Oryctolagus cuniculus: one gene and its partner. The protein of the gene in region 1 interacts with the protein of each later gene in a pairwise test. Links are inferred from orthologs where the notes say so. Each region holds a gene or a part of one and is shown on either strand. Other genes may lie near its edges.

Region 1 (4,498 bases):
CCTTAGATTTTAATGGTTTTATCTTTACTCTGTTATCTAGGTTGTCTGCTCATTTGTTCCCTCTCCTCACCTGGGCAGGCAGCCTGGCTTTTGATTCTTATTTCCAAAGTTGTAAGCAGGAAGATCCCTGAGATCACGCCTAATGCGTTCATATTCTTGCCTCATATGTACATTAATTAAAGAGGAATTTTATTGTTATAGGGCTCAAAACACATAAAATTCTACCTGCAGTAGAAAACTCAAATTTAATATAAAAACGGGAGGCTTAAGTGTATCAGAGATTAATACATGAAAATACAAATTGTTTAAAAGGCAAATATATGAAGTTAACTGTCTTTTCCCTGAAAGAACATCCGCATGGTAGATTTGTATGCTTGTAAGGCCAGCTGAGTGACAGCTACTTCTGGGTCTACTGGGATTTTTTTCCTTTTATTTATTTACTTTTAAAGATTTATTTATTTATTTATTTGAAAGGCAAAGTTACAGAGAGGCAGAGAGAAAGCGAGAGAGAGGTCTTCCATCCACTGATTCACTCCCTAGATAGCTGCAACGACTGGAGCTGTGCCCATCTGAAGCTGGGAGCCAGGAGCTTCTTCTGGGTCTCCTATGTGGATTCAGGGGCCCATCTTCCGCTCCTTCCCAGGTACATTAGCAGGGAGCTGTATTGGAAGTGGAGCAGCTGGGACTTTAACCGGCACCCAAATGGGATATTGGCACTGCAGTTGGTGGCTTTACCTGCTACGCCATAGCACTGGCCCCTCTTTTTATTTTTTTGGAGATTTATTTATTTATTTGAAAGGCAGAATTACAGAGGTGGGGGAGGGGTGGAGAGGAAAACAAAGATATCTTCTATCCACTGGTTCACTCCACAGATGGCTGGAATTCCATCCAGGTCTCCCACATGGATATAGTGGCCCAGTATTTATTCCATCTTCTGCTGCTTTCCCAGACACATTTGTAGGAAACTGAATTAGAAGTGGAACAATCAGGACTGAAACTGATGCTCACATGGGATTCTAACATTGCAGGCAGAGGCTTAACTTGCTGTGCCACAATGCCAGGCCCTACTGGGAATTTTTCTAATGATTCTGGGAAATCTGCATCTTTTTTGTTTGCTTTTTCTGTTTTCATTTTTGCTGACAAGTGTTCCAGTGACAGTAGTTGTCCTAATATTCATTGCTTCCCTCTTCTTAGAGAATCCTGATTTTTTGATTGGACATTTGGCCACTCAGAGAAAAGATGCATTCCTCAGGTTTCCTTGTAGAAACCATGTGACTAAGTTGATGTAAAAATACATATAATATATGCAGGCTAAAGGGCTGTGAAGGGGAGAGAGGTGACCTTGAAAGGGAATGTGTTCTCTCCTTCCTTTCCCCATTTTCTCAGTTGGGATGTAGGTGCTGTAGTGAGCTGCATGGGCCATGCAGACACCTCAAATCCTCCTCTATGTGGCTTGAGTCCTGGAAAAATGCTGGTTTAACATTGAGAGTGTCATTCATGTTATCAACATACTTGTAATATTGTATATCAAACTTCTGACTTTAATGCATGTTCTACCTACAATCTGAAAATCTAGAATATGAGAAGCATTGTACAGCCAAATGAACAAGATAATGGGCATCAGAAAGCATACTGGCCACCATGTTTATCCTGAATCTGTGAGTAACCCATGAAAACAAAAAGATCGTCTCCAGGATGACAGGAATAGGAGTTGGCTACATTTGATTTTCTTTGCTGTTTGCAGCACACCCAGCACTGCGCTGCTGTGGTGGGGTTCAAGGGCCTTCAGTTCTCGCCAGGTTTTCCCCTCCATTGTCTTCCAGCCCTGTGTCTGATCCTCCTCCTGCTATGGGAAAATGGCAGCGGAGAAATTATTATTACCTCGACTCTTGGTCTCACATGGAAGAATTTCCAAGCAAACAGACAAAGATAAAAGCTAGATTTAAAGGTTTAAAGCAAGATTTATTAGAGCCAAAGACCTCCAGCCACAGTGGCATGGAAGAGGGCTGCAAGAGAAGCAGAACCCAAAGAACCCATGGCACTAGGGTTTTTAAGTACAATTTTTGGGACAAGACTGTCAATAAGGTGGGGAAAACACCAACAAAAGACCTGATTTACAATTCTTTATCCTGTCTGGCTAGCTCCTCAACAATCACAAGGGTGGGATACCTGATTTGTTTTCACAATACACTGGGAGCTCAGAAGGGTGGAGTCACCACTCCCTTGCTATTCTCATGATAAGATTGGAAGCTCCCAAGGAGTGGGCAGGCAGGCACTTCTGATCTTGCTAAGGATAACTTTTTGGGAGGGATATTTTCCACCTTCAGTTTCCAGAGTGCCTATTAACTCAGGACTTCTTACACTCCTGTCCCTGTGATGCCCACATTCTGGAAGCCTCCATGAGCTGGCATGCCTGGCCCTCCCTTGTCTTGTGAGAGGAAGGCAGCCAGTATCACTGCCCCAGATTTACAGACAGAGCAACTGAGTCATTTTTCTATTGTTGTTGGACCAAAGTTATCCAGTGAGTCATTCTCAAGCCTGAGAACCGGATCCTAATGCTTGTTCCTGGCGCCATTCATGGAGCTGAATTCCACCAAGGGTTCAAGAGGATGCTGGACATTGAATGGCTCAGAGAGGAATGTATTTGCATGTGACTGAGGCAAAAACAAGGATTAACTCTCTTGACACCTGCATGCTTGAAAAAGAAGGGGAGAGAAATGTATTTGTGTACCGTATTATCACCATCATACCAACATCCTTACTCTTTCTCTAAATGCCCTGCAACTTCTTTGTTTTATGGCTTCCTTTGTACTTCATTTTTAAATTAAAAAAAAAAATCTTAATTGCAATTGCTTCATCTTGCAGCAGGGTTATTTCTGTGGATTTAGATCTGAGAGGAAACTAAATTTATTTCCTTTTCACAAGAGAATCTTTAAATTATCTGGCAGAGTTAAAAAAAAAAAAACCTTGCTTCTGTAATAAAATTAGAAATGCAAGCCATTCCAAATACAAGCTGTTTGTATTTACTAGGAAGATGCTTTTTATGTAGCATTTTTCTGCATAGTTTAGAATTTCCTAATTTTTTCTCTTACATGGTGTTTTTCTTGAATTACCTGTCATCCTGCTTATTCATCCCCTTCCTGACTATTCAAGCTCAGGAAGTGAGAGGCACAGGTGTGTCTGTAATGGTAACCGCAGGGTTCTAAGCAGCTATCACAGTTGAAGGCAAGTTGCAGTCTTCTACATTCAACTTCATGGCTATAGGAGAAGGTAACATTTTAGAAAGCAAAATAGAATTATTTCTTTCTTTCTTTCTTTTTCTTTTCTTTTTTTGACAGGCAGAGTGGACAGTGAGAGAGACAGAGAGAAAGGTCTTCCTTTTGCCGTTGGTTCACCCTCCAATGGCCGCCATGGCCGGCGCACTGCGGCTGGCGTACCGCACTGATCTGAAGGCAGGAGCCAGGTACTTCTCCTGGTCTCCCATGGGATGCAGGGCCCAAGCAGTTGGGCCATCCTCCACTGCACTCCCGGGCCACAGCAGAGAGCTGACCTGGAAGAGGGGCAACCAGGACAGAATCCGGCGCCCCGACCGGGACTAGAACCCGGTGTGCCAGTGCCGCTAGGTGGAGGATTAGCCTATTGAGCCGCGGCGCCGGCTGCAAAATAGAATTCTTACTAGGAATCTAGGAATCCTCATGGTTGCCTTTGTTTAAAATGTTTATCTGTGTGAACTCTTTAGTCCCTCCCAGGACCCCCTGAGTCAGGGTCCTGGAAGATACATCCTGGAATCTGCATTGTATTAAGCTTCCAGAGGTTCCTACATTCACTGGAATTTGAGAGTCTGCTTTGAGGGTTCTATGGGTGGTCTTCAGGTGCCTTGTGAAGCCCCTCAATGTATATATAAAGTGTCATGTGGGTTTGTGCATTTTTTAAAAAAAAATTATTTATTTATTTGAAGGAGTGGTAGAAACAGAGAAGAAGAGATCTTCCATCTGCTGGTTTATTCCCTAAATACCCCCAACAGCTGAGGCTGGGCCAGGCTGAAGCCAGAAGCCCAGAACTTCATCTGGGTCATCCTTGTGAGTGACAGGAATGCAAATACTTAGACCATTATCCACCACCTTTCCAGTAGCATTGGCAGGGAGCTAGATCAGGAGTAGAGGAGCTGGAACTCCAACCAGCACTCCAGTGTGGGATGCTGGCGTCCCAAGTGATGGCTTAACTTGCTGAAACATAACTCCTGCCCCTACTTGCATTTTTCTGAGGGAGATTCTCAAAGGATTTTGTGGCTCTAGCAAAGGTTAAACCCCAATGCATAATGTTTAATAAAGAGAAAAAAAATCTAATCTCATTAGTATACATGAGAGTGAAAATTAAAACAAGATTATCACATTGAATCCACAAATTTTTTAAAAAAATCATTGGTTGACAAAGATGTAGAGAAATAGGAATCCACACATTGTTAATAGTACAGACATTTTGGGGGAACAATTTGATG
Region 2 (2,712 bases), about 37 Mb from region 1:
GACCTTACCTATTGCCAGGAAGAGATCGTTCACGTTCATAGCCGTCTTGGCTGAAGTCTCCATAAACAATAAGCTGTTGTCATCTGCATATGCCTGGGCCTCCTGCAAGGGGTGGGGTGTATTGGTGCTCAGAATGTAAGGTGGGAACAAGTGTTGCCCTTCTGCTCTCTTGTAGCACCAGAGTTAGGCAATATTCTAGGTTCCCTCCCCTTAATTAATGCCCCTTTGTACCAACTGGCCCTGGACCCATAATTTGGTGGTGACTCCCTCAAGATAAACCCATGTCCACTCAGTTCAACAAACAGATGCCAGGAAGCTTAATTACAGGGGAGAGGATAATTTGGTTGGGGATTTTTGGATTCTGACACTTGAACAGTCCTTTACATAAAATTCAGTGGCTCCCTCTTTCCTGTTTTCACACTGGTACCCCCACAGCTTGTTACTTCCCTAACACACTGTGCTCTGGAATTTTCTTCTGACTCTTACAATCCCCTGGTTGTCATCAGTGTTATAGTGTTGTTGTATGTAACTTAATGAGGAACAGAGGAATGAGACAATGAATGTCCTTAGATAAGGTTTTCAGAGAGAGCTGGCTTGGGAAGGAGAGGCCCCAGGTATACAGCAAGTGTGTTAGAGGGGACTCTGCAGGCCATCTTACTTCATACTCCACCATGCGCTTGTTGGCCAGGTCAGCTTTGTTCCCCGCCAGGGCAATAACGATGCTAGGACTGGCCTGCCTCTGTAGTTCCTTTACCCATGTCTTTGCTCGGGCAAATGTTTCCTAGGAAAACAAGAAGAGAATGAGTGTGCTGGAATGACTGCCAGTCCACATCCATAACCTTTAAAACAGTCTCAAAAGTCACCTCTTCTAGGAACCTTCTCTCACTAAAAGTATGGGTCTCTGCTAAGTCATTCCTTCCAACGTTTTTGGCGCTTGGAAGCATAATTTGTACTCGTATTTTGCTATATCAGGAAGCTCTTTTGTCTCGCCCACCTAAGTGTTCTCAGCCCACTTACCTGATTAGTAATGTCATAAACAACAATCGCAGCTTGGGCACCCCTGTAGTACATGGGAGCTAAGCTGTGGTATCGCTCTTGCCCAGCTGTGTCCCAGATCTCAAACTTGACTGTTGTATCATCTAGACAAACAGACTGGGTGAGGAAGGCCGCTACAGATGAGAGAACACAAGGAAAACAGTTGTAAGTGGGAGGACGAATGGAAACACACAAGCCCCCTTCAAAATATCTCTACCCTAAGACCACTGAAGCTACTCAGCTACAGGAAAAGGCCTGGCTTTCTCCTAGAGCCGGATTAAGACTGCCTTTGCCATTTTTTGCTTTATCATGCACAGGCCAGAGAAGGCAAATAGGACTACAGATCAGATCTTTTGATGGGTTTTGTTCCCACCATGTTACTGACTGTCAAGGGTTTGTTGTTTTGTTTTGTTTTCCCCCAAAATTGTGCTTAAAAACCACTAACCCTCCGGGTTTTGCCTCTCTTGGAGCCCACCTACTGGCAACTCTGCCAGGAGGTCTCTGACGTAAATAAATCTTGCTTAAAAAAAAAAAAAAACAAAAAAACCAAAAAAAACCAGACTGCTGCCTTTGCTTAAGTCCTTCTAGTCAGAAGTTTCTCTGGCTGATGAACAGGGGCACATCATAAACTATAAGGAAAAGAGAACTAGTACTTATACCAGTTGTGCCTCTACTAATCAAAACTGGAATAACAAATAATGATGGAGACATCAAGTTTCAGATAAAAGTCTCATCAAGAATTAATTAGAAGGATGGACATAGGAGCAGTGGTTAAAACACCACTTGGAATGCCTGCATCTCATATCTGAGTGCTTGGGTTTGAGTCCCTGGGAAACAGCAGATGACAGCCCAATTTGGGTCCCTGCCACCCAGTGGGAGACCCCAGATTGGATTTCAGGCTCCTGGTTTTGGCTTGGCCCAGCCCCAGATGTTGTAAGCATTTGGAGAGTGAACTAGTGGATGGAAGATCTGTGACTGTATGTCTCTGTTATTCAAATAAAAATGAAAATAAAAATCAAAAGAACTGGGGTTGGCATAGTGGCACAGCGGGTAAAGCCACCATCTGCAATGCTGGCATCCTATATGGGCACCTGGTTGAGTTCCAGCTGTTCTGCTTCTGATCCAGCTCCCTGCTGATGCACCTGGGAAAGCAGAGGAAGATGGCCCAAGTGCTTGGGCCCATGCACCCATGTGGAAGACCCAGAAGAAGCTCCTGCCTGACTTCGGCTGTTGTGGCCATTTGGGGAGTGAACCAGTAGATGGAAGACCTCTCTCTCTCTAACTCTGCCTTCCAGATAAATTAAGTGAATGTTTAAAAAAATCAAAAGAATTGTGTTCAACAGTTAAGCTGCCACTTGGGACACCTGTATCTCATGTATCTTTCTGTTTCTGTGCCTCTCAAATAAAATGAAGGAAAAGAAATGTGGTGTTCCTGGATCTGCAGAGGTTATATGAAAAAGTAACAGCCAAATAATGCTAATGATGGTGGGACTTGCCATCAAATTTCAAAGTTTAATCCTTTCAAATTTAATAATTTTATTCATATTTTAAAAACTTTTCTTAATTTTCATTTATCTTAAAGGCAGAGAGAGACATATAGAGATTTTACCATGTGTTGGGTTACTTCCCAAATGCCTACAACAGCCAAGGCTGGGTTAGGCAGAAGTTAGGAGCCTA

The links.
Region 2: the proteins of EEA1 (region 1) and RAB5B interact in binary tests that used the Homo sapiens proteins (3 or more experiments, as listed by UniProt). The link is inferred for Oryctolagus cuniculus from reciprocal best matches to the Homo sapiens genes EEA1 and RAB5B.

The regions. Positions count from the first base shown.
Region 1 is NC_091442.1:96,147,778-96,152,275, reverse strand, and holds the start of EEA1 (early endosome antigen 1), read left to right. Parts: upstream 1-1,626; 5' UTR 1,627-1,641; coding exon 1,642-1,658; intron 1,659-4,498. UniProt on the Homo sapiens protein: Binds phospholipid vesicles containing phosphatidylinositol 3-phosphate and participates in endosomal trafficking.
Region 2 is NC_091442.1:58,781,318-58,784,029, reverse strand, and holds part of RAB5B (ras-related protein Rab-5B), read right to left. Parts: intron 1,170-2,712; coding exon 1,018-1,169; intron 782-1,017; coding exon 659-781; intron 103-658; coding exon 9-102; intron 1-8. UniProt on the Homo sapiens protein: The small GTPases Rab are key regulators of intracellular membrane trafficking, from the formation of transport vesicles to their fusion with membranes.